Mytilus edulis: one gene and its partner. The protein of the gene in region 1 interacts with the protein of each later gene in a pairwise test. Links are inferred from orthologs where the notes say so. Each region holds a gene or a part of one and is shown on either strand. Other genes may lie near its edges.

What was found.
Region 2: the proteins of arf-GAP with coiled-coil, ANK repeat and PH domain-containing protein 2-like (region 1) and ras-related protein Rab-35-like interact in a two-hybrid assay, tested with the Caenorhabditis elegans proteins (2 studies listed by BioGRID). The link is inferred for Mytilus edulis from reciprocal best matches to the Caenorhabditis elegans genes cnt-1 and rab-35.

What each region holds. Positions count from the first base shown.
Region 1 is NC_092356.1:71,611,145-71,626,779, reverse strand, and holds the start of arf-GAP with coiled-coil, ANK repeat and PH domain-containing protein 2-like, read right to left. Parts: upstream 6,309-15,635; 5' UTR 6,199-6,308; coding exon 6,140-6,198; intron 1-6,139. Other genes in the region: uncharacterized protein, read right to left, coding at 7,132-8,043; enolase-like, read left to right, coding at 13,152-13,236, 13,544-13,639, 14,309-14,367, 14,647-14,716. UniProt on the Caenorhabditis elegans protein: GTPase-activating protein for the ADP ribosylation factor family. Regulates endosome recycling downstream of rab-10 and upstream of arf-6.
Region 2 is NC_092349.1:6,755,155-6,771,861, reverse strand, and holds the start of ras-related protein Rab-35-like, read right to left. Parts: upstream 7,514-16,707; 5' UTR 7,433-7,513; coding exon 7,381-7,432; intron 4,285-7,380; coding exon 4,234-4,284; intron 3,493-4,233; coding exon 3,369-3,492; intron 1-3,368. Other genes in the region: sn-1-specific diacylglycerol lipase ABHD11-like, read left to right, coding at 7,705-7,784, 9,615-9,762, 10,628-10,801, 11,334-11,516.

The DNA of each region.
Region 1 (15,635 bases):
GATCAAAGTTCACTGCTTCTTCAGTTGTTTTTTTATGATTTATAGTGGTCATCAATACACCTTATCACTATTTGTCCGCTATTACTGGATATCACACAGGTAAAATTTTGACGTCATAAAACAAAATATGTGATGCCACAATGGAAAAGTAATTGTTGTTGACGTCAACAGTTCAAGCGGCCGGGTCAGCCTGGATTAGCGATAAGGTGTATTAATCTTAAGACAAAGTAGAAAGAAAATTCTGAGATAATTTTCACTGATTGGAATTGACCACCAATAGTAACAAACATCTGATTAACATGTGTTATTACAAATATTAATGTTTTACATGTGTACCCGTAGATTAACACAAGGAAGACAAACAAACCAGGATAAACCAAAGTAAGCCCTTGTTTTCAACACTTAATTATTAAATTCTAACACATCTGTATTTCTGAATGGAAAACAATTAGAAATCAAGATCTTAATCTTTAAACAAAAAAGTGCAGTGAGGGAATTATTCAAAATTATCTTTTTTCTTGTTATTTTTTAGAAATTAAAACTGAAGATATATTTCATGTAATGTTTATATTAACAGTTTTTTAAAACACTAAACAGCTCTTATTTTTAATCAAAATATGTTTGACAAGAAGCAAAAACATATATGTATATGGGAGTTAGGAGTTTTCACACCCTATACTGCAGCTACTGTAGAACATGTAGAAACTAAACTTAAGTTGAGTACTATGAACATAATTTAAATGCTTATTATTCCTCTATAGACTTTGACTTTGTTACAAATAATTAAAAGCACAGAAAAAACTGAAGCCATTATTTACTTTACACATATTGTATAACTAACAAATCAATGTTAAAATACACTTGACAACTCAAGAGAGAATTCTTCCTGTAATTACTCCTCCACTGATCTATCAAAAATAGATCTAAGATAAACCAGATTTTTAAACAACGATTTGCACCTGAAATTTCTTTTAGAAGCTGCCAGACTGTATATCAACAATACCTGGAGAATATTTACTACAAGCATGCATGTTATAATAGAAACAGATGGAGAGCTGTGAAGAACATGTTTCTAATAACTTGGCAAACTCACAATATTCTTTCATCCCATCTTCTGTTAATTACTATCTTTCAAAACTAAATTTTCAGGAAATTGTGAATTGTAATGCAAAATGAAACTTAAGGTATACAAAGTTTGTTAACATTTATTGGAGAGTGGTTTGAATGCCATTGAGATACATGTAGCTATCTACCATAGACCAAATAAAAGGGATGTAAATGACTAAAGGCTTCAACAATGAACAAACCCATTTATTGTATTCAATGTATTTCAGGCTATAAATGGGTCCGGCACGACAAATGAGAAACAATTTCAAAGAGAAAACCAACAGCCTAAATTTTGCAAAAAAACAAATAAGGTAGACAGCAACCAACTTCAACTATGGAATGTACTTTTTGTATCTGTGAATAGAGTTTGGAAATTTGATACATATATTTGTTTTAATTTCGTACCAGACAAAACATAAGGCTCTCAAGTACAGATACATATAAGGTTGTTCTTGTACAAATTGCACCATAAACACTTCTTCTTCTTTTAATATTTTACCTGAACTTAAACATTGATACTTTTCCAATATTTATCCAATTCATATTAGAACATTAATGAATATCCCTTTGCAATACAACTTTATATTTTTATCCAGCTACCGGTATAGTCATTAAAAAAATCACCGGTAAATAACCTATACATCATTAGAGAGCTTTGCTTTCATCATTTCAAATTCTAACGTAGATATTTAATCCCTCATAAGGATATTATTAAGTTGATTTATCTGTTTATTTCAAAAATAAGTATTGAAATGTGAAACAAAAGCTTAAGGCCTGTCATAATTGTGGGATATAAAATGTGCATAAAAATATACTCAATGTCTGTCATGTCTGTCCCACTATTTTCAGTTGCTTTCAACAAAATCATGTACATGTACTGTGAATTCATGACCATTCATGGAAAATACCTATTTTCATGGTTTTCACAGGTAAAGATGAACCAATTTAACTGTTCAACATAAAACAAATTTTGTATGGTGCAGACTTTGAAAAGCTTTTCTCCTGTTTTGTAGCGAGTACAAATTAATTTCATATTTCCAATTACATTGTATACATGTACATACATTGTTTTTATCTTGTAATTTACTCCTGGCAAATTTAGGTTTAGATGTTTAAATCCAAAAAGTTGTCTGATTTTTGAAAGAAATCAAAAGTTCAAATGTGAACATGGATAGTGGAGAGAACCCCAAAATTAACTGTTATCCCAGTAGAAATATTCACATTACAGTTTGCTCAACATGGAAGTGAATAACAGGAGACTTTTTTGTAAAGATATAAATAAAGCAAAAATTATTTGTGTACATGTTATTTGCATACAATAGTTGACTGATTGCTAGATAAATGGTTATATATATATAGTACATCCAAAGTACATGAATGTAGTCTGTATCTTTGAAAGGTTTCATGCTTATTCAACCCCTATCCTTTTCAACTAAGTTATATATTTTTCAAAATGAATGGAAAATATTTTTAGCTGTCACTATTGACCATTAACTTATTTATTTGTAATCCTGGCTTTAGTTGTAGCAATATAAATAGTTTATATGTATAGTATCTAACAGGATACGGCCCATACCAAACCATTTCCTCAACTTCCTATTTCACTTATACTACTCACTTTTTACATCTTTTGTTTACTGTTACATGTACAACTTCTTTTTTTAATAACCTATAACCTACCTTTTGTATTTGTTAAAATAACGATAAGCATGAATGGAAGTTATCTTAAAAAACACATAAATATACAATTTTGCGCCTGTCCCAAGTCAGGAGCCTCTGGCCTTTGTTAGTCTATGCATATGATAATTTAAATTTTAGTTTCTTGTGTATAATTCAGAGTTTAGTATGACGTCCATTATCACTGTACGAGTATACTTATTTTTTAAGGGGCAGGCTGAAGGACGCCTCCAGGTGCAGGAGTTTCTCGCTACATTTAAGACCCATTGGTGGCCTTCGGCTGTTGTCTGCTCTATGGTCGTGTTGTTGTCCCTTTGACACGTTCCCCATTTCCTTTCTCAATTTTATTTATACATGTATACATCATCTTTCTTCTAGGACTGATTCAAATATGTTTCTGAACCAATTATTTTTCTGGTATAGTTGACCTATAATGGTTTACTTTTATAAATTGTTATTTGGATGGAGAGTTGTCTCATTGGCATTCACACCAAATCTTCCTATTTCTATCTTTACCTTTCAGAATTTGCATAACATGTATAAGATTATATTTTAGCAGCATTTTTTGTATTTTATATAGAACAGGTTAGATTTATGAAGTTTTGAATATGACATGTATCCTTTACAAAGTGTCAAAGATATTCAATTTATACATGTAATTTACGATTTAGAGATTGAGAGGGGAAGGTACAAAAATCTGACAGTGTCAAAACGTATCTGAAAATTGTGTGGTACGAAATTCATTTTCTTCTTCAGTGCCACAAACTTTCAAATATTCGTCTTCAACTTTTTAAATGAAATTAATAAAACAACGGTCTAAAAATTTTAGTGGTTTAGATATTAAATCACCATGATCACAATTTATTTGGCTTACATGTATGTCTTCTGAAGATATTTTCATACTCCAGAAACTCGGAGAAATATTGGAAAATTTATCCTCATATAGGAAAGTTTCCTTAAATGGTATATAGATGTAGTAATGGGGGCTATGGGGCCCGGGCCCTCCCTTTCATGGGAAAAATCTGGTTGATTATATAGGAAATCACTGAAGCGTGACTGGAGTGGGCTCCCCTTAGGTCAGTCAGCGGGCCCCCACTTACAAAAAGTTCTGGATCCGCCACTGTTTGCTGTCATATTTTAAGAATCTGTTCAATTGTGATCCATGAAACCAAGGCCATTTTCTCTTAAATTGATTCCATAAATTTATACAAAAGTTAATTCTGATAATAAGTAAGCAGAGCAATTCAGGTTTTTCATTCCTCCCTTGATTATAACAATGCATAGATCTATACACATGATACATGTTTCTTGCTACATTGAAGACCCATTGGTGGCCTTAGGCTGTTGTCTGTTCTATGGTTGGGTTGTTGTCGCTTTGACACATTCCCCATTTGGGTTACCTTTCTCAATTTTATGTACATTGTAACTAATGCTAACTGCATTAAGGTACAAAAATGTATTCCAGACAATAGAACAATCCTTTCTATTATATAAGATAGTACATGTATACAACACTGAACCCAAAATTTAATGACACTTGACCTTTTGATGTCTTATAAAAAGATACAATAACAGTAATTTCCTGTAAACATTTAAACTAACTGACCTCAACAATTAATCACATTTCAGAATAATTGAAAGAAAAAAATTGAAAATAAATCAAATTAATGACCCAGTCCTATCAGGGTGTAGTGTTTTTGTGCTACAAAAGAATGTGGCAGGAGAAAATCACAAACTCATTATTTGAAGAAACACACATGAGATTAAATGATGGTGAATGACCATGATGACCCAAGTTGAAAAAAATAATTTTTGTGTTTTAATATCTACAGCTCATGATCATGAGCATGATGAGCTGCACTGTTTCTACTAATTGCAAACTTGTCATTATTTAACTACTGTGTAAAACAAAAATAGACCAACATAGTAAGCAACAACTAAGCTAAGGAGATAAGTACTTCGCCACAGCAGTCCGCACTATGAAAAATTTAACTACTAGAGTGAAGACCAATATTCTGACATTTTTCTTATTGGTCCAAACAAAGTTTTGCAAAAATTTACTAGTCCAAATGAAATTTTACTAGTCTGGCACATCGAACTAGTGGCTAACCCTGCAGACTAGTATTTTCTAGTGATCCCAGGTTTAGCCTTCCTTATTGGATATATAAGGTTATAAATATACATTTGTAGCATGTGAATAAAGAATGTCTACCCCCTCACTGTTGACATTTTGTATAAATTTATATTTATTAATAGAATTAAATATCAACTTTCTTGTCACTAAATTTGATTTCTTGTTGCTAAATAGTCTTCTTAACGCTACAGAGTCTTCTTGACGCTAAATTATTCTTCTTGTTGCTTATTAGTGAGATCGCTATTAATGTGATTAGTGATAGTCTTTCCTTCTGCCTCAATTTTCTCATGATTAAACAACAGCTGTGGTTGTGGCTTCATTGTTTTTTATTTCAGTTTTTTTTTAATAACTATACCTGTGAAGTGTTAAAAGAACAAACTTGTTTATTAAAACAGTTATTAAGGCCATAATAAATAATAGGTTTGTTTGCCCAAACGCTACCTACCCAGAAAAAAGTTGCCTACTCAAATTCTTTTATTGTCCTGATTTGAAGAAGGTTTTTTTAATCAAAAAGGCATGAAGACTAATAAACATCTGATACTTCAATTTCTTTTTTTGAAAAAAAGAAAATACCTACCTACCCTACCCACTGTCTCAACCTTTGGGTAGGGTTTGGGCAAACCAAAATATTTTTAAGTGTGGCCTAAATTTTATTTACATTTTGTAAAAAAAACAACTCATCAACACATCAGTCATAGAGTGTTTAGATGATTAAAATAAAATCATTTATACATTTTTAGAATTATTTATATATATATATTTTAATATGCAATATTATTGAATACCGAATAGACTTTAAATAGGTGCCTCAGTATTTGACTTTTTCTAGGGGTGCATTAATATTTTGACAAGGTGTCGATTTCACTTGTATCTATTCCAAATAATTATGACGTCTTGCAAGGCTATAATAAAAAAAAATCTGTGACCCCTTCCTACAACACTTGTACCCTGATAATTACTATTAATTTGTTTTCTGTGACGCCTTCCTACGACACTTGTACCCTGAAATTCTGAAGTACTGTAGCTAGTTGATACCTCAATAAATTGTCTTTACTAGAGCCTTATATTTTGGCCTGGTGCATTCTTAATAATTGTAAATAAACAAGGATTTGTATAAGAATAAGAATCCTTGCTATAAATGACTTGTGAAGTTAGTCACTGTTTTCACTTTCAACAAGACAACATGCTCAAGCTGATTATTAATTTTAGCCAGATTTTTACCTAAATACAGGAGAATCCTTCAGACATTCCTTGAAATCAACACTTGGTTTGGAAGGCATTTTGGTTACTGATTAAATTTCCGTTATATTGATCAGTTCGGGTGATTAGTCAATCATCTTCATCATTCAAGTTTACTCAACCACGAAATCCTCCTTCTAATTGCTTCCCCTTGGACGAAATAGTAAAGATGGCGCTGCTGAAAATAACAAAATGTCAATTTTTATTTTTATAATTTAACTGTGTGCTGGAAATTTAATTAGAACAAAACAAGTATCATGAAATTTATTTATTTTTCTTTTTTAATTTTTATAATATTTCCTACTTCCTGTGACCTTGCCCTACTTTCAACGTGCAGACTATCACCTGCAGACTTACAGTATTTGGGAGGAAAAGCTGCTTAAAATATGTAAGAATTAAGTTTGCAACTGTATTCTCTTAATTTCTATTAACTACAAGCTTCAAAAGATAATGTAACGACTTCGTATTGAGCTGTCAAACATGCTAAAACTGCGAAATTAGTTGACCTTGAATGACAAATACATGCAACCTTGCATTTTTCAGTGTCCTTGTCTCATCATTTCCTGTTCGAAGTTATTTGATTGTTAGGGTATATTTCTATCCATCTGACGTATAGTTGGTAAGTGCTGGCTATAACATTAAAATCACTCTGTCTGGAAAAATATGCATCCTCAAAGATCTAAATTCTAATCCTATCAAAAAAGAATTTTATGCAGTCATTATTGGGGGGGGCAGGACCTTTTTCGGGACGTCAGGATCCTGGATTTCTTTTAACGAATTTCAGGATGTCGGGATTTAATTTATAATTCAGAACCTCTGGATTTCATGTTTTTAAGCCCAGGATTTCGGGATCAGGACCCCTCCAACCCCCTTTCATTATTACATTAAAGAAAATCCTCAATCTCGAATTGTCCCATTGTGCAGTTTTCCTCGACGTATTTTCTTCTCTGTGCTTTAAATTTGGTATGCGCTGGTTAAGATTGGGATTGAGGAACAGCAGTATTAAATCTGCCCGTTCTGTCAATGTAATGTGCCACTGTTTGTAATTTGGCTTTTGTCTCTTCTGTGTTTTCGCCGTCCAGTCTCGTTAGCATTGTAGCTAAATTCAAGTTTCTGACCCCGACCTCTTTGGATATTTGGTGTAGCATATCTTCTCGTTCGTTTTCATAGCAGGGACACTCTAGAAGGAAATGTTGAGGCGTTTCAGGTGCTCCACAGTTACATGACTCTATGGCGTTGGTTTGGCCTACTCCGTTCTTGTAGTAATTCAGTTCTGTATAGCCAGTTCTTAGTTTGGCGAATATACTGAAATGTCTTTTAGTTGGGAAATCATACATAATTGAGTGTTTTGTAGTTGGTATTTTTTCATAAAGGTCCCTGCCTCTCTCAGATATTTCCCATCTTCTCTGCCATTTATTTCCTGATCTTTTGTACGCTGCTTGTTTGACGTCCTGTAGTGTTATGACGTTATTTTCCAGTGGTAATTCTTTTGCTTCCTCTGCCGCTGTTTTTGCAAGGATGTCAGCCTCATCATTACCAGCTATGTTGGCATGTCCTGGTGTCCATGATACAATTACATTGAGTCCTTTTTGCCTAAGATGTTCAATATTTTCTTTTATTTCTCTTATTACGGAGATGTAGCTGTTTGGGGCCCAGTTCAGTGTAAGTAATCCCACGGCGCTTTGACTGTCAGAGAAAATTTTGATTCTTTGTATTGCATTGTAAATGTTTTCTGTAATGCAGTATTCTAGGACCATGAGAATTGCTATGAGTTCCGCCAGAAGGATGGATCCTCTTTGTGCCACAGGTCTATGTAATCTGGCAGCAGGTTTAATGTGTTCAGCATAGATAATTGCACCTGCTCCACAGGGTCCTGAGTTCCACATAAGGAAGGAAAAACAGTCTTTTCAAAACTATGTACTTTGGAGATCATTGAAATTGTAATGACGAAAGTATTTTAACCTTGCCATACACTACATGTAAAATGTTGGTTTTATTGTCGCAAATGTGTCCTCCATTAAAATCACACACGCTAACTTTTGACATCACAATTTTAAAATTCTTTACTTCACAATTAAAAAATGATTTTTGCTTGATCATGATGTCAGAAGATTATAAAGCAAAATATCTGATGCCACAATGGAAAAGTGATTGTTGTATGCATCAAAAGTTCAAGCAGTCGGGTCAGCTGGGATTAGCGATATTATAATACAGTTTCAATTAACGATGTTATTGCTAAGAATATACCACAATAATCTGAAATTTCTGGAAATTGATAGGAGTCCAGCATCTAACCCTTTCACTGATAGCTGGCTACTATTTATACTCAAGTGTAGATCTTAATAATAAATGTCAATTAAAACTTGTCTGTAGTTATTTGTGTCTTTATTTCATCATGTTCATTCACTAACACCATGGCCAAGTTCGGATGGATATCTAGAGTAGATAGGATTGACATGGTTATATATAACACCTGTTATGATTGGATATAGCTTTCCCGCCATTAGAACTCAATGAGCCCTGGGTTGTGGCAGGGTTACTAGAGATCGACTCGATATCCCGGATGTTATGACGTCGATCCAATCAAATTTGAATGTAAACATATTCAGAGTAGGTGTCATACCACCAATTACTCCCTCAAATTTAGAACGTATGTGAAAGTAGGCCTACTCGGACAAAAAAAAGTGCATTTGATGTCATTGTTCACCTAAACGAACTAACAAATTTGCAGAAATGAAAGTTTTGTTGAAAGAGAAATATATTAAGACCATTTTGAGCCAAAATTTACCTGTCTATGAGTTTGCATTAAAAATTGAGGATTAATGCGCTCCATAGTATACTAATTTAAGATTTCCAGAAAACCAGGGGTTATTTTTAGTGGTACCTCCTTTCGGAAGCTCTCTGCTTTCTTATATGATTTTGAATGTATGTTGAAAATTGGCATGCAGAAAGGTGACACCTGTACAATTCATGATATACCTAGTTTCTATGAAGTTAAACTTAAGGTAAAATATTTAGAAAGCTGTGAAAATTGCAAAATTTGGTTGAACAGATAGGGACTTTTAATTGGTGGTATGACACCTTTAAGCAAAATGCGGTGAAACATCAAAATCAGAAAACAATTGTTTTTTTTTGTCTTAACTGATCATTTGAGATAATAGTAGCCACATTTCAATCTTTTTGGGGGCAAACTGTCACATATTGCAAATTTAGAGCCTAAAACTTGAGTTTGTCCTATTTTTAGCTTTTCCCATCCTGACAATAGGCTTTTATATAAAAAATGTCCTAAATAATGTTACAAATGCACAGAAAGTTATTCTGTGGTGTTAAACATTGAAACATAAGTTGTTTACTACCCCCAAAAAATTTTTGTCATGCAGATTTAATGAAATTATTTGATTTTTACCCCTTATAGCATTGCGTCATACTATGTACTTGGCAGATAGCATAGCCTAATGTAAGCACTGCAGAAACTCACAAAAGCACCATTTATTATTCCAAATGAAATTTTTATATCTTAAATTTTATTAACTGATGTTAATAAACACAGTTAAATGACCATGACTGCACTTTTGATCAATTTGTAGTACTTTACTGACACCAGATGAAAAAAAGGGGGGTCAATATTCCTTGACACTTCAATACCTTGGATTTTTTACTAAATTCATTGCAAAAATTGTTGGAAGTCTTTAAAGAAGTAGAACAAACAAGAAAAAATCAGCAAACAATGATCTTGATATTGAAAGTTTATGTTCCTGTAGCCCAAAATGAAATTTTCAAGTATTTTCTATCAAAGTCATACATTACAGTCAGTTTAAATTGAGCTGTGAAATTTTTATTATAAGTCGCATAATGCTCAGATACATGTAGGCTGTTTTTAACTACAAATTGACTAAGGATTAAGAATAAAGCAAAATAAAAGATTTCTAATCAACTTTTTTGTCTCTTTAGGTGTCATACCACCAATTACTCCCTCAAATTTAGAACGTATGTGAAAGTAGGCCTACTCGGACAAAAAAAAGTGCATTTGATGTCATTGTTCACCTAAACGAACTAACAAATTTGCAGAAATGAAAGTTTTGTTGAAAGAGAAATATATTAAGACCATTTTGAGCCAAAATTTACCTGTCTATGAGTTTGCATTAAAAATTGAGGATTAATGCGCTCCATAGTATACTAATTTAAGATTTCCAGAAAACCAGGGGTTATTTTTAGTGGTACCTCCTTTCGGAAGCTCTCTGCTTTCTTATATGATTTTGAATGTATGTTGAAAATTGGCATGCAGAAAGGTGACACCTGTACAATTCATGATATACCTAGTTTCTATGAAGTTAAACTTAAGGTAAAATATTTAGAAAGCTGTGAAAATTGCAAAATTTGGTTGAACAGATAGGGACTTTTAATTGGTGGTATGACACCAGTAGGGGCCTTGTATTTCCGGTAATCTAGAGTCCTTACTCTTCAAAATTATTTACTGTTTATATGGAACTAGAGACCGTACTCGAGTTCCATCCAACTTGGCCCATGTTTACAGTTTTGTTCATGTTTTGATAATTTTTATGCAACCCGAAAAAAATTTGGGGGATCGCATAATGGTATGATGTCGTGGTCGTCGTCGTCAGAAGACACATTGGTTTCCGGATAATAACTTTAGTTTAAGTGAATAGATCTTTATGAAATTTTTTCAGAAGGTTCAATACCACAAAAGGAAGGTTGGTATCGATTTTGGGGATGATGGTCCCAAAACAAGCATTTTTCTAGTTTCAGGATAATAACTTGTGCACAAGTATTTCAATTGCTCTGAAATTATACGGCAATGTTTAAAACCACAAGTAGAAGGTTTGGATCCATTTTAGGGGTTATTGGGCCAAAGTTTAGGAATTTAAGGGCCAAAAAGGGTCCAAAACAAGCATTTTTCCATTTTCCAGACAATAACTTGTGTGTAATTGTATGGATCTCTCTGAAATTGTACCACAATGTACCATATAACAAAGAGGAGGCTTGGATTAAGTTAAAAATGTAGGAATTAGGGGCCAAAAAGAAGCATGTTTCTAGTTTCCTAACAATCATGTCCATGACAATAAGTTGTGTTTAAGTGTATGGATCTCTCTAAAATTCTACTACAAGGTTCAATACTTCAAAGGAAAGCATGGGATTGAGTTTAAGGGTTATTGCTCCAAGGGGGGGGGTTTACCATTTTTTTAGGGATTCCTTTTTTTTCACAATTTTTCAAATTTCGAATTCTGAAAAGTTTCAAGAAGAAATTTTTAATTGCACAGTATTGTGCAATAGATTTGTTAAATCTTTGACCACATTAATTTTGTGACAAAAACCTATATTATGTCAAAAATTTGATCACAATCCAAATTCAGACAGTATTAAGCATGAATATTGTGACCAAATTTGCCCCAACTGTTTAGGGTTCAACCACTGGGGTGGTATAAAGCTGCGCCCTGCAGAGCACCTCTTTTTTTTTCATAAAATATTCAAATTTTTGGCATTATCTAGGTGAAATTCTAAAAATTCTGCTCTTTGACCCCAAATCGTAATTTTTTAACCCAAAACAGAAAAATTTGAAAAATTTAATGAGTAGGCTGTACAAATTCCTTTACACTGAACGATGTCCATTCCAAGTGAAACAACATTTTATGTAAAAAAAGTATACTAGTTTGGCTTTAATTATTCCATATAATATTCTTTCAAATATTTTTTTCCCTCATTTCAAATTCTCGTAAATTTCGTAAATTTCCTCTGATTTTGACACGGTTTTTAACAAACGGACGTGCCATGTTTACACTTTCATCCGGGTATTCATCAAAGAAAGATAACTCGTGTTTGCACTGTTTTGAGTGGGAAATATAAAAGAGGTTTTCTGATCCCGTTAAAACAGGACTCATTGGCGAAAGTGTTAAGCAAGACTATGTTGGCTTTATGAACACGTCAAATGATTAAAAGGATTTATGTGACAGTGGCGGATCTAGAATTTTGCATAAGTGGGGCCTATTAACTGCATAAGAGGGGACCCACTCCAGTCATGCTTCAGTGATTCCCTATATAATCAACCAATTTTTTTCCACAAAAGGGGGGGCTAGGCCTCCTGAAAAAAAACTTATATCTGCCTCTATGTCATTATTATGGAAGAAATCAACTACTTAAAAATATTGTTATAGGCTGGTAGACCTTAGAATTTACTTACTCAAAATTTATTATGTTGACTCAATCAAAATTGTGATTACAAATTAACTAATAGAAAAGTGGTTATACATACATGTTCATGTATAAAATGTACCTTAAACCAGTGAATTTTACAGAACTGCCAGCTTCCCAATTCGTGGGATATTTACCCCCATTAATATTTGAGCCGAAAGGTGTTGACTCCTGCAGTACTCAACAAAATAGCATAAATTTCTACAAACAGGAATTCTAGAGTTAAATGACATTTTAGAAATGTAAAATTTTTATTGTCAGTGTTTTAAGTTATGGAAATTGTTTTTACTTTAGAAGTATCAAATTACAGGCTAATATATATCAAACTCTAACATACAGTATAGGGCCCCAGAGAGTAAAAGGCCAAATTATATATATCTAGTAGATACTTGGCTTGAGTTTGTTTCCCTTGTGCAACATAGTGGAGAGCAAATTCATTGAGATTTGTATTTGACAAAGCAAACTAAATCATGTTGTACGAGCAGGTACGTATGTAGGTCGAAGTTTATTGTGTAGAAATGATTTCATGTGCAATCCACAAGTAGTGCTACATGTACCCTATGAGTATGATGAGATGGTAAATAAAAAAAATGTGTATTTCAAGCTTTAACTGCTTCAGGTTTGCCTAGATACAAAAAATAAAGTAGATCAAAGGCTTTGCAAATTTCTGAATTAAAAACTCTAACCAAAAAAGACATATATATATCAAGAGCAAAAGATATATGAATAAAACAAATACAACATGAAAAGACACAAAACTGAAAGTTTATTTTTTTTGTAGAGCACCATGCCAGTAACAGCTGTGAAAGCACGTCAGATTTTTGACAGTCGTGGAAATCCAACAGTTGAAGTAGATTTAAACACAGAAAAAGGTCAGTTTGAAATCATAGTTATGATAGTCCAAAATTGGATTGAATATTGTTTACATGTAGAATGTTTCAATTTATAGATAAAAAAATGAATGAATAAAAATTGTTTTGAGCAAATACCATGAATACAGTATTTAAATTCCCATTGAAGTAATTATAAATGGTAATGTTAAAGAATAAGTAAGATAGTTTTTAAAATATAGTTTGATAGTCATTTAATGATACTGCAAAAAAACAACACATAAGGACAAGAAAAGCTTTTATATAAAGGTCTGTTTATAAGTATTGTAATGTTCTGTGTATTATATAGGTCAATTTAGGGCAGCTGTACCCAGTGGAGCATCAACTGGTATTTATGAAGCTTTAGAACTGAGAGATAAAGATCCCAAGGCATATCATGGAAAAGGTAAGTTAAAACTCAACTGTCCTGAAAAGTCAGATTTATGTAGAAACCTTATAGTTTTAAAAAATAGAGGGTCGAAGATAACAATAAATTATTATAAACAAGAGAAACTGACCACACCATGGCAAACAAGAATTATAATGAAAAGTAAAACAATTCAACAAAATATCCAATAGAAAACTTGAGACTGAGTAACACTAACCCCACCAAAAAACGGGGATAAACTTTGGTAATCCACGAGAGTAAACAGAGTCATCTCCTCGTATGGCATTAATCATGGAAAGTACAATTTCTAGTCACTAGATGTTATGAAAACAAATCACATTTTCTACAAGAGGGAATGTAACTTGAGCATGCTAATGAGTTGGTTCAAATGAGATCTAAAATCTTTTAAAGTATGTGTTTGGAAAACTTTATTATACAATGCAGCTTCTCATTTTTAATGAAGAACATTCAAGAAGTGACAAACTGCCTGATATCTGAATATAATGTGTATGTAGTTTTTGTACAGGCTGATGTATGAGAATTCAATACCTTAAAAATCCAGGAAAAGGAGAGAACAGATATTTATTTCACCTTATAACAGAAACCTTCTTATGCTACTTGTTTGTTTTTGTAGAGTGTATGATTTGTATGTTAGAAATTTAATTGTTGTGTATTTACTATTTTAAGGTGTATCTAAGGCAGTATCTAATATCAATGACATCATTGCACCCAAATTACTGGCTTCAGTAAGTAAAACTAAGAATTGCTTCTAAATATTCATTATACTGTGGATGAATAAATCTATGTCACCTGTACTTTAAAATAAGTTTCAAAAAAGATTTTTTAGAAGTTATATATATATTTATTTCCTGATCAAGAGAACAAAATTTGTAAAAAGTAATTGAATAAAATTTTCAAAACAAATAACTGAATGTGTAGTCTGATAAGAAAACAATAGTAGCACGTTAGCAGCATATTAGGGTTGAAATTGGAAAAATTAATTAAATATTTTTACTTTCTTCCAGGGATTAGATGAGTCAGACCAAACAGCTGTGGACCAATTTCTTCTTTCATTGGACGGAACAGAAAATAAAGGTAAAGTGAAAACAATACATCCTTAAAAATGTGTTATATGTTAGTTTTATGAATGATATTTCAGTGTTCATATAGTAAATTTGAGAGAATGACTTAAATTAAGTTTGTTTTTTTCTCCTTTAACTCTTTATCTACCATTGACGGATATATACCCAGTAATTAACATTGTTTAGTTCGTAGTGAATGATAATTCTGCTTGCCAGGTACCTGTTTATTCGCAGTGACTGATCTATCCGTTGTAAACAATGCATGCGCAGTCGCGTTGATGGATATTCCCGTAAAATATACCACTGTTAAAACTCTTAAGATTGGACAATACCTAAGGGGAATCCCGAAATGAACCAATCAAATTCGGTTTTACAAATAAATAAACTTTCAACTCGTATATTTCTTTTCATTGAAAGGTTATATGTTTACATTAAAATACATTGTTTTTAACACATGTTTTTGTTTGCGAAATGCAATTCAAACAATGGCCGATGAATGGGCTTCATTCTTTGAATCGGAGGAAGAAGATGAAGAGTTTGAGGGTTTTAAGCAGTCTGATATAGACGAAAGTGAAGTTAGAAGTGTCGGCAGTGATATCAGTTTATTAGAAATAGTAAGCGAAGGCACCCGAGTTAGATAACGACATTTGGACAAATGATTTGTTTTTCAACATATTTTACTGGATTAATTAGTGTACATAATTGGATAAAAAAAATCAGAAATATAAAAATTCAAACAATTGTGAATTAATTGCATTTTTTATTTTTAATTTCTATACAGTAATTGCTTAATAATTTCATATTTAATTGCACCGCCGTAAAAATTCTCACACTGCAAGTTAACTCTGGTAGTTAACCTACAAATCAGCTGCAGTAGCTAACTAATAAGCTGTGTGTAGTAGTGAACTGTATGATCGCCTGTGGTAGATAAG
Region 2 (16,707 bases), on another chromosome or scaffold:
GATATGACAAAAATCCGCATTTTCACGATAATGACAACAGATGGACAGTAGACAGAAAAATTAAACCAAGAGAGAAAACTACGCATTAACAGACTATTTGTTAGATAACTTTGTTAAAAATACATATGATTTTGATGTAAAGATAAGAAACAACTGGGACTAATTCATTGAGTGGCATGAATTTCATAAACATGATAAAATCAAAGAGCTGATAGCTCTGAAGTGGAAGAAGGTGAATAAAAGGTAACTTGAATTACCATAAAAGCAGCCCCACTTACCCAGGCTGCTTTGTTCCATTATCGTTAAAATGTATTTTTTTTCTTCAAACAAGAAAAGGTCATAAGTACATGGATTTCCCATCCGTACAATCATTTTCTATGTTCAGTTGACTATGAAAATTAGGTAAAATCTTTAATTTGGCAGTAATTAAGAAGATCATATCAAGAGGAACACATGTGTACTAAGTTTCAAGTTGATTGGATTTCAACTTCATCAAAAACTACCTCGACCATAAACTTTATAACCAGAAGCAGGACGGACGGACAGACTAGAAAACATATTGCCCATAAATGGAGCATAAAAATAGTAAGACTTGTTACATACCTGCCAACTTTTGAAAGTTCCCATATGGGTTTTTACTGCACAACAACAATTTTAAAGGTTACAATTTTTAGCGACGTATTTTGCAAGATCTGGATTGTCTAGAAAAAGTGTCATATTTGTATGATGAATTTACATGCCTTTTCCTTAAGTCTGTTTGCATGATTCTAGTTATATATTAAATAGGTAGAAAAAATATACATGAAGCTAGCAGACCAGGGTTTATTTTCCAGATTAAGAATATTAGATGCTTGTTGAAATTTCCAATTTTGAATTATGCACAAAGATGGACCTTTAACAACACTCCAAATGAGGGTAACCTAACTGGAAGATCATCACAACCCACTGTAAAAAATGAGCACAAAAAAAGTCATTTATATTCATATTATTTGATGAAACTTTTCCCCAAGAACTATGCATCTATTAAGTACTGAATGGTCAAAACATCATGTTTTTTATCGACATAAATTTTGTCGTAAATGTAACCAAATGATGTAGAAATTGTGTTTTTTCTTCAAATTTCCATCAAATTGTAATGTTTATAGTCCCTTATTGCCTCTCTATTTGAATAAAATAAAATAATAAGAAGAATCTATTTCTTGTTTTGTTTTGTTTTGTTTTGTTTTTGACAAATGATTGTTCACTGCTTGCAAATGAATCATTATATTTATATATCTATTTCTGTATATATTTTTGTTCATGTCTCCATATCCTTATCATTTGTAAGTGTATAGACAAATAAGAAAGAAATAAGCTCCACATTTGCAACATCGTAAATTAATTAAAAAAATAACATACACTAACACTAGTACTGCATGGATTTTAAGCATTATAAAAGTCATATTTGTAGAAAGCTTAAAAAGACTTAAAAACAGTGTAAAATGTCTTGCTATTTCTTAGCTTTCACAATGAAATCTAAAATATACTAACATTTACAAATTTAAATTTCAAGATTTTACTAGGAATTAATCTAACTACTAGACCTTTTATTAGTCTAGTTGCACATATTGTATATTGACTTCTAATCAGTTATAAACAAATTTATGATATAAACTTCAATTTAATCATTGAAAGGAGGTCTAGATTGCTAAAATAATTTATAAATTTTAATTTTTTTATTTGTCCAAAATCATTTAAATTCATTTAATCAACATCCTTTTATGATTATTTGATTAAAATATTAATCATTTATAGTCTTTTTACAATTTACATTTTTAAGAGCAAAATAACTGAAAACAGGATAAAACAAAGGGAAGTAACAAAAAAGTATTTCAATATTCCCATTACACATCGTTTTGATAACACAACGGCAGTTAGCCGGAGGTAAACATCGTTGATTACCAGTATGTTTGACACCCAAGCTGTCAAGTGAAGCCATATAATTATACATCTTCTTTGATGTTCAGGTAAAATTTAACACAGGTATCAATTACACCCGTACAGTAGTAAGAAATGATCAAATATGGCGTCTGAAAAATTTCATACACAAGAGTTTTTTCTCCTAAACGGGAGGTTCACATGTATGTTACGAAGGGCATCTTATTCACATGACACAGGAAAACCATGAATAAAGACAACACTTTATATATCCTTTTTATTTATATAAAAACAAAATCATCTTGTCTGCAGGATTGCAAATTCGTAACTTCAAGGGCGAACTTGTAAACAGGACGAGTTGTCCCGATACCAAATTCACGCATGCGTAATACAAATATCTACAGTAAAAACATCCTGTTACAAGTAAACAAATAACGTTCATGTGGATGAGATGAAATCTAATAATTTACATAAATAAAAGGGTCATATTTACGATAGTGATTGTTTAACAATCTTAATTTACAAATTAAATGATTCAGATGCCTAATCATGTGTAAAAATCGGTTTCAGGAATCTAAGTTGTTTTGAAATTGTAATACACGAAATGAATGCGGCATACGGAGACTCAATGCCAATGGTCAGCCCCTTAAGTCTTCAGAAGACTTGACGTCTTTTTCCACTAAAAAAGTTTTTAAATTGATTTTTTTTTGCTTCTTTTGCTACTTTATCTTTACTTGATATAATATAAAAAGTAGTTAATTTTGTGTACTAGATAATTTAGTTTTGTATAAATACAGGTTGCACTGTAATGAACCATTCATTCATTTGACTTATTGTTGGGTAACTGAAACCACATATTTATTTTTATTTGGCACAAGAGGAAAAAAATAACTCTGTAACTATAAATGAATAAAGAAGACATAAACTGAAACAACTGTTTTTGTGGTTATAGTTTAATTGTATTCTCAGTTATGAATTGAATAATATAAACTAAAACATATAAAGGAAATAGAGCATCAACGCGACGCAACAAACAACATTAAAAAAAATACAGTTATTTTTTTTTACGCAAAATGTGATGCTATCCAAAATTTCTGGGGAGAACACTGATATGACCAGAAGAAAATTTGATCTTGATCTGTAACTTGTCATGATTAAACTATATATCAATTTTCAAATCAATTTCTTCAAGCTTTCCACACATTTCTTCAAGCTTGAAGATATTGATTTGATATTTGGTGTATTGTTTTATCAAGACAAGCTATAGATTGAGTTTAAATTTTGAGTCAAACATACTTGCCATATGCAGAGTTCAAACTCAAACTTCAGTGTTGACACTTTAGTAATGCAGAAGATGAACTTCTTAGACATTGATAAAATGATAGAAACCTTTCTCGATCTGTAATATTTTTTTGTGTGTATAATTTCAGTAGGTGGGTTGCTATACTTACGTAGATGTGATTGTACGGAATCTCTCTTGACCTGCTGTATCCCAGATCTGTAATTTAACTTTCTCACCAGCAACATCTACTGTTCTTATTTTAAAATCTACACCAATTGTTGTTATATAGGTTCCTGAAACATTTATATCATTATCATACAATGACATTTCTATGGTATCTTATGATTATAACAATAATAAATGCTACAGACTGATCTTCTATACTGTGGATTCATTAATTTTCGTGGATTGAAGGAAATTGGCCTTTTCATCATGGATATGTGATTTTATGGTTTTGAGAAAGTCTGCATACAACCTGATAGAAAATTTGTAATTCGTTAAACATTTAAATTGATGGTTCACCTGTTCACATGAAAACCTTGAAAATTGATAACCAATTATGAATTATAATGAATCCACAGTTTTTCACCGGCACCATCAAGAAGAAAAATTTCAAACAAATTTCTTTGTTTTCTTCTGATTGTATTCATAGGAATTTTCTTGAGTAGAAAACCTTATCATGACTGTGTGTGACTGCTTTCAATTCCAGTCATCAGCATTATAACCAGACCTAATTTTGTTTTCGTTTAACTGTAAACAATAAAGCAATATATTTAAACTTACTTTTAAAATGATTTTATTTAATATACTAGCGAGCAGAGCAACAACAACAGAAATGTCAACGTTGGATCTTCAGCGTTGTTCTAAATACAACTGACGTTGCAATTTCCATTGCGAGGTCAATCATGTGCAGCCCATGTTTTATTGAAATTAGAACATGGCTTTGTTTCCAAAGCGAAAGAAGGACATCATATTAAATCATGTTTATAACCTTTCATTTCACTATTTAAATCTAATTTTGATCCAGTACTTACCAGCAAATGTATTATCTGAAAACCGTAACAATAAGCTGCTTTTTCCTACACCTGAAATGACAACAAAATTATGTAATTCATTATTCAGTACAAATCATTTTGAATTGTTAAAAAAATCAGCAACCATTGTATATTATGTACATGTATCTAGAATCACTCACATACTAGTGTCAAAGTATGACATGAGTATGGTATGAGTCTTAAGTAGTTTGTATGGGTCTGAAAGAATAAATACTACTGGGAGAACTGATCGCCATTAAACTTGTTGTTGACCACTTTTTAATATCAGAAAACAGACAAAACACAGCCTCAATTACACTTTTTTCAGATAGTCAGACCTCAATTGGAATTTTAACTTTAAACTGGAAATCAGAGAATTACACCAAAGTCATAAGAGAAATTAAGAAAAACATGAAAGTATTAAAGATGAATGGAATTCCATTAAATTTTGAATGGACACCTGGTCATGCTGATATCCAAGGAAATGACATTGCTGATTCACTGGCCAAAAAAGGAGCTAAAGAAGCTGAAAAAATAGAAGAACCATCAGAAGTAACCAGGCAGGATATAAAACGTGCAGCAAGAGAAAGTGTTTTAAGAAAATGGCAGAACCAATGGGAATCAAGTCAACGTGGCAGAAATTATTACAACTATCATCAAAAAGTCTGTCAGAAAATACCAAAAGATTTACCATCCAAATGGTCGTTTTCAATTACTACTAGTTTGAGAACAGGTTATTGTGATTTAAATGATTATAAATCCAAAATCATACCATCATCAGACAAAAACTGTTCCTGTGGAGAGCCAGAAACTGTAGAACACTACCTTTTACATTGTTCTAACTATGAGGAGGCTAGAGAGAGGATGAGAACATCTATTTACTTTATTACAGGAAATATACAAATGGATTTAGACACCTTATTAGGAATCGATGAAGAAGACATTAATAGAGACAATCGAAATGAGATATTGTGCCATCTGGAAAATTATTTAACGGAGTCTGGTAGATTCAAAAACACTATACAGCAAAAAACACTATAAATCTATATCAAAATTAAGTCAAAATTTTTTAACAGCAGCCACAATTTCAATTAAGTACATGAGTGAACATTACATATGTGAAGAAACTACAAAAGAGGAAACGTACACAAGTGTTTACAGTGTCATTTGGGACACTTACTAAAGACTAAAGTTGTCTTGTACTTGTATCAGATTGTGTGAGTATATCTGTCGCGTATATGGCTACAATATGATGTATGATTTTGTAGAAGATGATGCAAGTTTTTATTCGCCTTTTCTCAAGAGTTGCCCAATTTAGTGTTTGCAGCATTTCAGTGACTGAGCTGGTGTAATGGTATCAGTTGCATGTGTACATGTACCTTGCTGCTCTGTGCTGGACCATCTCAAGTTGGTGTGTTTGTGATTTGGTATGTGGGTCCCAGCTATTCTAGCTTTGGTCTTACTAGTGCTATGTATGCTTTTTTTAAAACTGTAACCTTTAAATTTCTTTTAATGAAGTTCAGCTTTTATGTGGCTGCAGCTGTGATGTTGTTTACAGGTTTGTGACAGCAGATTGACTGTTAAAATTTTGGGACAACATGCAAAACGTCACTCATAACTTTAAAAATCAAAGAGCTGAATAGCTCTGAGGGGAAAGACGGCCCTTGTTTCTATTTAATTATTTTTTTTGGAAGGAAGGGGGGGGGGTATCTTTTGATAGTCTTCATATAAAGAATGAAAAAGAGAACAGCTAGAACATGTAGAAAGGTTGACAATATTGAAATTAACTGTTGTTTATGTAATTTCATTTCCTTAGTTTAGGATTCAATTAGAACCAATGGAAGAGATCTGCATCTTCTAAATCTAAACATTTGATTTAAGTTGATAGTTAATTATCTAAAATTCAACTGAATTCTGTCATTTCACAACAACTACAATATTTTTTTAAATCTTGATTGTGTACCAATGAACTGCAGGCTAGGGCCATTTTCCATTTTTTGTGACAGTACTCTTGGATTTTAAAGTTTTTTCTTGAGAAAGTGTGGACTGAAAAATCTATTCAGTTTTAAATTTCCATTGATTGTAGGAGTTCCCAGTTACAACTCTCATCAGGTACTGATAAAAAAAAACACCAATATGATTGATGTAAACTGTGTGAAGCTTGTTTCCACATCCTAAATTTGAAATATTTGTGAATTTCATGAATAAATAGGTTTAAACTACAAAATGCAATTTTTTTTTTCTTTTTTTTCCCCCATTACAATGATTGTGTTGGTACACAAAAATTTAGTTATAATGGAAGACTACTAATCCAATGAAATGTCACATTTTAAGTATTTAAATACATTAACTTTTATTTTAGTGGATAATATTACTTATCAATTGAGGTGCTCCTGAATTGGAGGAAGATTCTCAAAACAGAACTTTTACAGAAAAAAAATAATAAAATCGTTTCTCTCCCCTATCTCATGTAACCCCACGATCTTTGTTTACTTTGAAAGCTGGTGACCTACAAATTAAAGTATTGCATGTTAATGTTTGAATCATCTACAGCAGACATTATTATGTTTAGATTTAACAAATACCAATTTCTAATTAGTGCACGATCTCTGAGAATGATATAAATAACCAGTGAAGGATATCCCTGATTCTGCGTAGTGTGGCATTCCAAGAATGACGTCACTATTAAATACAATGTATGTTGGATATATTTAGAATATCTCGTCATACTGATTTTTCCGGATTGTAAAAGAAACGTAAATAGTGGAAAGGAGAGCTCAAAATACGATAATTTCGTGAGAAACAGAAGGGAAATGTGTAAAAAAGTGTTTAAAGTCAAACTATTCATTTCTGGGTCTCCTTCTCTTCAATCTAAGTAAGATTTGTTGGGGGGTTTTCCACACTATAAAAACAAAATGAATGATGTGAGGGAATGTCACTCTGGTCAACCCCATAGGGGATTGACGGCTTGAAGCCGTCTTTCCCCAATAAACAGTTTTCGTTATGGCCCAGTTTCTGAAAACATTAAAATTATGTCATACAAGCTGTCGCCAACAACTTTCAACTTTGACAACAATCAATGACTTCAGCAAAAATCGTGCACCTACTTCACCAGAAAATTAATAAATGGATATTTCGGGTTCTTACCACTGTCACCAATGATAAGGAGCTTGAATAAATGGTCATATTCTCGAGCCATAGCCCTGTAATTGTTTAAATACGGACTGAAGGCTCAGTGTCAAGTGATTTTAAAGTCGGAAGTAAGGGATTTTGTATCCGGAAATGAGGCGTATGCATAGTTATGCGCCTGCGCCATGTGCATCATAATCTTCAATGTGCTTATCATTTGGTGTTCACCGATTTATTTTCAAGCACTAAATTGACGCAGACATTAAAAATAGCAGACAGCTTTTTAGATGTCATTTCCACATTTAATGACACTTTAACAACACCAGGTTAATTTCAAATTTAATGGCTTTTCGGAGGTCAATTTGTAAACCATCAAGCCTGTTTTATTTCGCTATAAGACACAAGTCAACTCAAAAACCCAGGTAAACTCAAAAGATTGTAACTCATAAACAGCTGCAGTTTCACCATTTTTAGATATGACATTGACTGTGACATGACTAAACTTATGTCTGATGTAATCCCTGAAACAAACCTGGCAAATTTAAAAATTTCAATTTTTGTGAATGACATAAGGCTTCGATAAGGTTTAAGGCTTAGCAGAACAGTTATTGAGTTGTTTTTTCTTTAATGAGGCCAAATTTATATTCACTAGGATTCAATATGAGGCAGGCATAACCTGTGAAATGAGGACGAAGTCTGTATGTAATATGAGGCAGGCATTACCTGTGAATGGGGACAAAGTTTGTTTAAATTATTTTTTATAAATATATTTGTTAAAAAAAAGAAACAGAAATACCGTAACGTTTCCGATTTTGGTTCTGTTGTTAGGGATTTTACTTGTGACGTTATTTAAGTTATGACGTCATGTTCAATGTAAACAAAGAAACGCAATGCATCAGGTAACATTTATTCATACCAAAGTTGAAGAATGATTAAAAATGAAATATTGGTATTATGTTCCTTGAGTTCCTATATGTTACTAGACTAATCAAAGTCTCAAGACAACAAGACCAGAAGAAGGAAGTAGAGTTATGTGTTCTGCGCAGTTCCGGAAATTAAAAAACGCGACAAAAAAAAATTAAACGATTTTGAGTTCATTAGTACAACATTTGACGGAATAGAAGTTCTTTCATAATATAAGTTCCAAATGGAAACAATATTCTGGAATATTATTTCCACTGGAATAAATATTACAGTAAATGTTACCAACGGAATAAATGGTATATAGAATATTTGTTCCAACAGGAACAGATATTATGACATTGTTTATAACAAAGTTTCCATTGGAACTTCTGTTAGGTGGAACAAATACATGTATACGTTGACAGGATTATCTGTTCATCTGTTAGAGGTTTATTACCAAAAGGGAAAAATATTTCAAAACAATAACTCACCTTGTAAACACATTTTTTCTAAGGTTGTTTTACCAGAAAACTTTGATACTTTATTGCATTATTTTCCATCATATGTAGGTGACTTTGATAAATCTTTATCTTGATTCCATCAATTTAACAAGAGCAATTGTACTTTGTAAGTTTGACTACTTTTAGAGACATTTTTTGGGAAAGCAAATTACTCTTCTGAAACCATTTGGTATCTGTCATACTGGATATGGTTTTCAATCAGTGGCGGATCCAGAGGGGGGGTTCCGGGGGTGCGCACCCCCCCTTTATTTTTGCCGATCAATGCATTTGTATCGGGACATATGTTTTGCACCCCCCCTTTGCCCTGGGTTAGCACCCCCCCTTTCGAAAATTCCTGCATCCGCCCCTGTTCAATGAGCATTGTACCATTATTAATCAGTTAATTTGATAATTATAATCAGAGTTATTGGACTTAACATTATTTTGACTATTTAATTTCTCATTTCTCATGTTTATAGAGAGCAAAGGACATTTTAGTATGGTATAGAAATGTCTTATCCATACCTGCCAACTGTCACTATTTACGGGGGATTTCCCCCATGAAAGCTCCGATATGGAAATTTTGAAAGAGCAATTTTGTCAACAATCTTGATCAAATGTTAAATAAAACAGTTAATTTTTATAAATGCAATAGGCTATTAAAAGTATGAAGAAGCCAAAAAACAACATTTAAATGCATTTGAAGGCCCCCTTGAAGGTTTTTTGGGACTACAAGAGTCCTCTTGCATGTAAAACCCCCCGTGGGCATTCTGAAAAGCTGGCAGGTATGCTTATCATTAAATTATGAAATTATTTATAATATATGATACATTTTAGTTTTCATTGCAGTTTTTCAGGTCAGGGAGTATGTTTGTCATACAGAAATTATCAAGAGCCTGGCAGTTCTGGTCCCCCTGTAGTTATTACACATGGTCTTATGGGAAACAAAGATAACTGGCATTCTTTATCAAAACTGTGGAGTAAAAAGGGAAGACAGGTATACAGTCTAACAAGCAAAGAAGTTGCCTTAAAATTCATGTCCATTGGTCACTGGGTAATATTTATCTCATTGGCAACCATACTACATATATATCATGTATATTGAGTTTAGTTGTGACATGTAAGCTGAGAAACCATACATCCATCAGACAAATTACAAAGACACAAAAAAACATTAAGATATCTAAAGTTAAAACACCTTTAATTTTTATGTTAACCTATTTTTGAGAATTGAAGAAGGCAAATTTTTCGTAAAATTTGATGTGGATTTACCAAAGCTGTAATCAAACCTTAAGAAACCATGTACTTCATTGAAGATTGGTATTCTAAGAATAATAATGATTGTTGGTGTTTTAACGCCACTTTTTGGCTATTTTGTGGCAGTCAGTTTTTATGGATGGAGGAAGCCAGAGTGCCCTGAGAAAACCTTGACCTTTGATAGGATAACTGACATCCTAGTCAATAAGATTGGAGTCAAAAGTGACTGCACAAACGGGGTTCTAACTACCAGTACTTAGACAACTTGGCCATTGAGGCCCCAAGAATGGAAATGAAACAACAGTATTATACTGTATATAATTACTGACAAATTTCTATATTTGGATCATACTGTGTATTGATTTATTTTCGTGGATACCAATTTTCAATGATTGAGGAAAAACTAGCATTTTTCTGGATAATTTATATTGTGTTTTTTCCAAAATCTGTATACAAGCATAATTAGGAAAAATTGTAATTTGTTGAACATTCAAATTTATGGTCCGACAAAATCAACAGATATTAGTAATCAACAAATTATAATGAATCCAGTGTATACTTTTTGTGACATTTATGATGGTACATTTATTGTATTTTTACAATAGGTAATAACAGTTGATGTCAGGAACCATGGGGAAAGTCCACACACTCAAAGTATGGACTATTTTTTAATGAGTGAGGATATTATTAACCTATTAGATGAATTGTCAATAGACAAGGCTTGTTTACTGGGACACAGTATGGGTGGAAAAATGTCTATGGTCACAGCTTTACAACATGTAAGTACATATATTACCCCTTTAAGAAGATTATTTAAAAACATAAATTTAGATACATTTGTAGCTTACATGAATGCAGAAAAAACACTCTAATTTATTGGGTGTTTACAAAAAAATGGAAAACATTTTTGAACTGTGAATTGTTTGAATATAGAAAAAAAAAATGTTTTTTTATGAGCTTAATATATTTTTCAGATATAATCTAAATATAATGTTGTGAAAACTTGTGATCCAAATGCACTGTTTTTGCACAAGAGTAAAGACCACTGTAGAAATATCTCAATTGATGACAAGGAAAGTATATGAACAATGCTTTCCACAGTGGATACATTTGAAACTGAACTTGACATATATTTATTTTAGTCTTTGCAGATTAGTTTCAGTCAAAATGGGTTTGTCAGTTCAAAATTAATTTATATATATAGTTTAAATTACATTGTTATTTGAACTTTTGGTACTTGTATTTCTTACTGTTACACATTATAGTTTTGTTCAGCAATGTTTTAATAGATTTCTTTATAATAATTTTCAGCCAGAGAGAGTAGATAGTTTAATTGTAGTAGATGTTTCACCAACAGTTAGTCCAAGAGCTAAGACATATCCAGCTTTCTTACAAATGATGCTGAAAATTCAAGTACAGTTATACATGCAGCAAGATCTTCCTGTATCTGAGGCTAGAAAGATTGCTATCAATATGTTAAAGGAAGTAGAACCTGTAAGCAAGTTATATCAATAGTTATCTCCCCTTTAAGTTATCTACTGACAGTGACTTATATCAAGATTTTGCAATGTTTTTTAAAATCATTGCCAAAAATTGCAAAAAGAAAACTTGCATTATAAATTGTGAAATCATTATTTGTATGCAGCATTTCATGAAATTGATCTCATTTGTTGTTGTTCAAAAAGGGCAATAATGAATGCACTAGAAATGGCAATATAATAGATTGCACAAAAATGCAATAATGAATGCATATAAATGATAAAAATGAATGCACACAAAAAAATCTTTATTACCAACATTGTAACTATTTTTAAAGACTAAGTATGAATATTTTATATTTTTATTATTGTATTGGTCATATTTGTTGAAGCGAGTTATGGTAAATAAGTCATATTTATTTACACAATTTATTTTTGCATAACAAAATAACAAAAATAGGACTCAGCAGAAATTCATGCTGACAAATCAAACTAAATATATTCCTTATCAATCTAAGATCTTAGATTAACATTATCAACAGAACTGAGCATTATTTCATTACACATATTCATTGTGTAAAAGTGTGATAGAAAATGTATTAGTTACAAATGGGAGGTAACTCTGGTAAAATCAATATTTTGACATCAGAAAGATTCTTTATGTTTTCCACGAACATGAAAAATAACTTGTTTTTATACGACCGCAAAATTTGAAAAATTTTTCGTCGTATATTGCTATCACGTTGGCGTCGGCGTCGTCGTCCGAATACTTTTAGTTTTCGCACTCTAACTTTAGTAAAAGTGAATGGAAATCTATGAAATTTTAACACAAGGTTTATGACCACAAAAGGAAGGTTGGTATTGATTTTGGGAGTTTTGGTCCCAACATTTTAGGAATTAGGGCCCAAATAAGCATTTTCTTGGTTTTCGCACTATAACTTTAGTTTAAGTTAATAGAAATCTATGAAATTTTGACACAAGGTTTATGACCACAAAAGAACGGTTGGGATTGATTTTGGGAGTTTTGGTTTCAACAGTTTAGGAATTAGGGGCCAAAAAAGGGCCCAAATAAGCATTATTCTTGGTTTTCGCACAATAACTTTAGTTTAAGTAAATAGAAATCAGGCCTGGGGTAATGGTAATTTGTAATTGTAATGCATTGTAACATGGATTTTTCTAGCATTCCACAGGGTCCGGTTTTCGGACCCATTCCCAACGGCAAAAACCCTACATTTTTCCCAATTTTGGGAGTAAAATTCCCAAATTATCACAAAATTTATTTTCATCTTTATTATTCATGACAGAGATGTTTATTTTATTCAACAGCTAGCTTTATGTCAAAAATCGTCAACAAGTAATGTGTAAATCCAAGTTGAAACATATTGAATGACAAACAACATTTGACAAACAATGGCTGCCATGAATAAACAGGAAGTGTGGGAAAATACTAAAACCAGATCAAATCCGGAAACGAACAAGTATATAATTCAGGGTTTGTCAATCAAATACAGTTAATAAAAAATGAAAAGAACCAAACATGTGACAGCTATCATAGCAACACTAAAATTGAAAAGTAAAAGATATATATAAAAGAAAATAGAAACAGGATATATTTTATACAGAACTGAAAATATTTTAGTTCACAAATTTTCATGTCAAAATAAAAAAAAATAACAATCCTTTAAAAAGTTAGAACTCATTATTTTGATACTCAAATAAACTTTAATGCCATGTTGTTATATTTAAAAACAAATTTAATTAACTAAACACACTAAAACTAACATCTGGTATATTGGTTGTTTTTCCCAATTTCATTGAAAACTGCGCTAAAAAATTCCCAAAACTGGCCAGGGTCCTTTTTCCCAAAATACCCAGATAAACCCCTGTGTAATATTACTTTTTTTGGATGTAATGCAAAGTAATTTGTAATGCACATTTTCTGCATTACAATTACATGTAATGTAATGATTACTTTAGTTAAAAATTGATGTAATGCCTCCATTACAGTACATTACTTTTCATTACAAATTGGTAAAATACATAAAATTGAAGAATATTGTATAATAAAAATAAAATATTAACAAAAACAAAAGAAAGTATGGAATAAAATTTTTGTCACAGTTAATTACTGTATTAAATAAATTACACCAATCTTTAAAACACACATTAAGGTAATAAATATAAAATGGTAAAAATTATCAAGTCTTGATTTTGGTTTCTGATATTTGTTTAAAATGATATTAGGAATATTTTGGTGTTTGGTGGTTTGGTGTTCAATGAAAAATCTTAATTGAATATTGAATATGTCAAACAACATTTTTAAACCAAACTGTGGTTTGGGTCCTGTCTGTGTTGTTATTTCACCTAATTAATATCAAAATGTTTTTATTGCAATCAAATCTTCTCAACTTATGTTTGTCCTCACAGAGCCCTTAAGCATTTCAAAAGATAATCCTCTAATGACACATTTATTATCTTCCTTTGAAATCCCTTAATGATGTCTTAATGATTAAGTGATCAATGTAAGAAACAAAATGATATGATAATTTATTTATTTTTTACCACCACCTAAGAATCTTAAAAGTGACTTTTCCAGTTTCATGCCTCCTACTACTCCATCAAAGAGTATAGACACAGGTATGGTGCAGTACATGATGTTGACATCTACTTGTCTGAGCCATGTGAAGAAATTTCAATCAATGCACTGGAATGATGGAAGTCAATTCAGTGTGCCTTTCTTTTTTGGCTAATACAGCTATCAAGTATTTAGCCATTTCACACACATCAGGTGCTGTAGAAAGGCTTTTTAGTATTGCCAGAAAGGTGTACAGAGCTGATCGCTGTTTTCTTAATGACATCACTTTTGAACCTCTTATGATAATAAAGTTCAATGGACATATTAATTAACCAGTATTTGAAGTCTATGTCACTAACACTGTATATATATCTACATATACCCCTGTAATATTTATCAAATTCTTATAAAAATCTGTTTTTTGAAATGTCTTTAGTTTTTATATTGAAAAAGTAATGTGTAATGTAATGCATTACACAGGCAAAGTAATTGTAATGTAATGCATTACATGTGAGAAAAAATGTAATTGTAATTGTAATTGTAATGGAAGAATCACAAAGTAATTGTAATGTAATGCATTACATTGCAATGTAATGGCCCCAGGCCTGATAGAAATCTATGAAATTTAAACACAAGGTTTATGACCATAAAAGGAAGGTTGGTATTGATTTTGGGAGTTTTGGTCCCAACAGAATAAGGGGCCCAAAGGGTCCAAAATTAAACTTTGTTTGATTTCATCAAAATTGAATAATTGGGGTTCTTTGATATGCCAAATCTAACTGTCATGACTGTGTATGTAGATTCTTAACTTTTGGTCCCGTTTTCAAATTGGTCTACATTAAGGTCCAAAGGGTTCAAAATTAAACTTAGTTTGATTTTGACAAAAAATGAATCAGTTAGGTTCTTTGATATGCTGAATCTAAAAATGTACTTAGATTCTTGATTATTGGCCCAGTTTTCAAGTTGGTCCAAATCGGGGTCCAAAATTAAACTTTGTTTGATTTCATCAAAAATTGAATAAATGGGGTTCTTTGATATACCAAATCTAACTGTGTATGTAGATTCTTCATTTTTGGTCCTTTTTTCAAATTGGTCTACACTAAAGTCCAAAGGGTCCAAAATTAAACTTAGTCTGATTTTAACAAAAATTGAAATCTTGGGGTTCTTTGATATGCTGAATCCAAAAATGTACTTAGATTTTTTATTATGGGCCCAGTTTTCAAGTTGGTCCAAATCAGGATCTAAAATTATTATATTAAGTATTGTGCAATAGCAAGTCTTTTCAATTGCACAGTATTGCGCAATGGCAAGAAATATCTAATTGCACAATATTGTGAAATAGCAAATTTTTTTTTAATTAGAGTTATCTTTCTTTGTCCAGAATAGTAAGCAAGAAATATCTAATTGCAAAATATTGTGCAATAGCAAGATTTTTTTTTAATTGGAGTTATCTTTCTTTGTCCAGAATCAACTTAAATCTTTGTTATATACAATATACAATGTATATTCACTTTTTACTACCAACTGATAAATTAAAATAATCTTTACCATTCAGTGATAACAAGCAGTTTTTTTACATCTTAATATTTTATGATGTATTTAAATGAGTAGTTATTGTTGCAAACTCCATTAGAAATTTTAATTGAGATTAGTTTTGGAATAAGGGAAAGGGGGATGTGATTAAAAAAATTGGGTTCAATTTTTCTCATTTGAAATTTCATAAATAAAAAAGAAAATTTCTTCAAACATTTTTTTGAGAGGATTAATATTCAACAGAATAGTGAATTGCTCTAAGAGAAAACAAAAATTTTAAGTTCATTAGAACACATTCATTCTGTGTCAGAAACCTATGCTGTGTCAACTATTTAATCACAATCCAAATTTAGAGCTGAATCCAGCTTGAATGTTGTGTCCATACTTGCCCCAACCGTTCAGGGTTCAACCTCTGCGGTCGTATAAAGCTACGCCCTGCGGAGCATCTGGTTTATAATTGTAAATGTATTTTTCTTATGATAGATAGATTTTAATTGAACATCAACCAAATTTTCAATCAACATCACTTCATTCATCATGTTCATCCTATATCAAAATCTTTTTACTGGTAAGATACATCGGTAGATATTTTTTATTATTGAAAAAGTCATATTATTTCAGCATGGATATTTGACAACATCTAGATTATTTGTAGAAAGATGTCTCATTGGCAATCATAACAACTCTTATTTTTAAAAATAAAAATTTCTTGTGACGAGAGTAAACTTCTTAAAATGTTTAGAAACAAGTGACAAATTTTTTTTAAAGTTTTTTTTATGCATCAAGCTCCTTAAACAAGGTTTCTGACTAAATGCTATGATTTTCTGAAAAATTTACTTTTACGTTTAAATTCAAAAGGTTAAATTAGTTCTTTGATTTCATGGTTTGAAAGTTACGTCACAAAAACAAGACGCAATTTTTTTTTAGTGAAATGTTTATTCTTTTGTATAACAACATAATTGTAAAACTAGCTATATATTGATAAAGAATTTATATAATTTTAATGCATCAAATAATAATTTTGGAAAAAATTCAAATATTTCATAATTTTGTTACTTTTTAATCAAAACAGTCTTACAAATGATAAAAGAGTTGATAC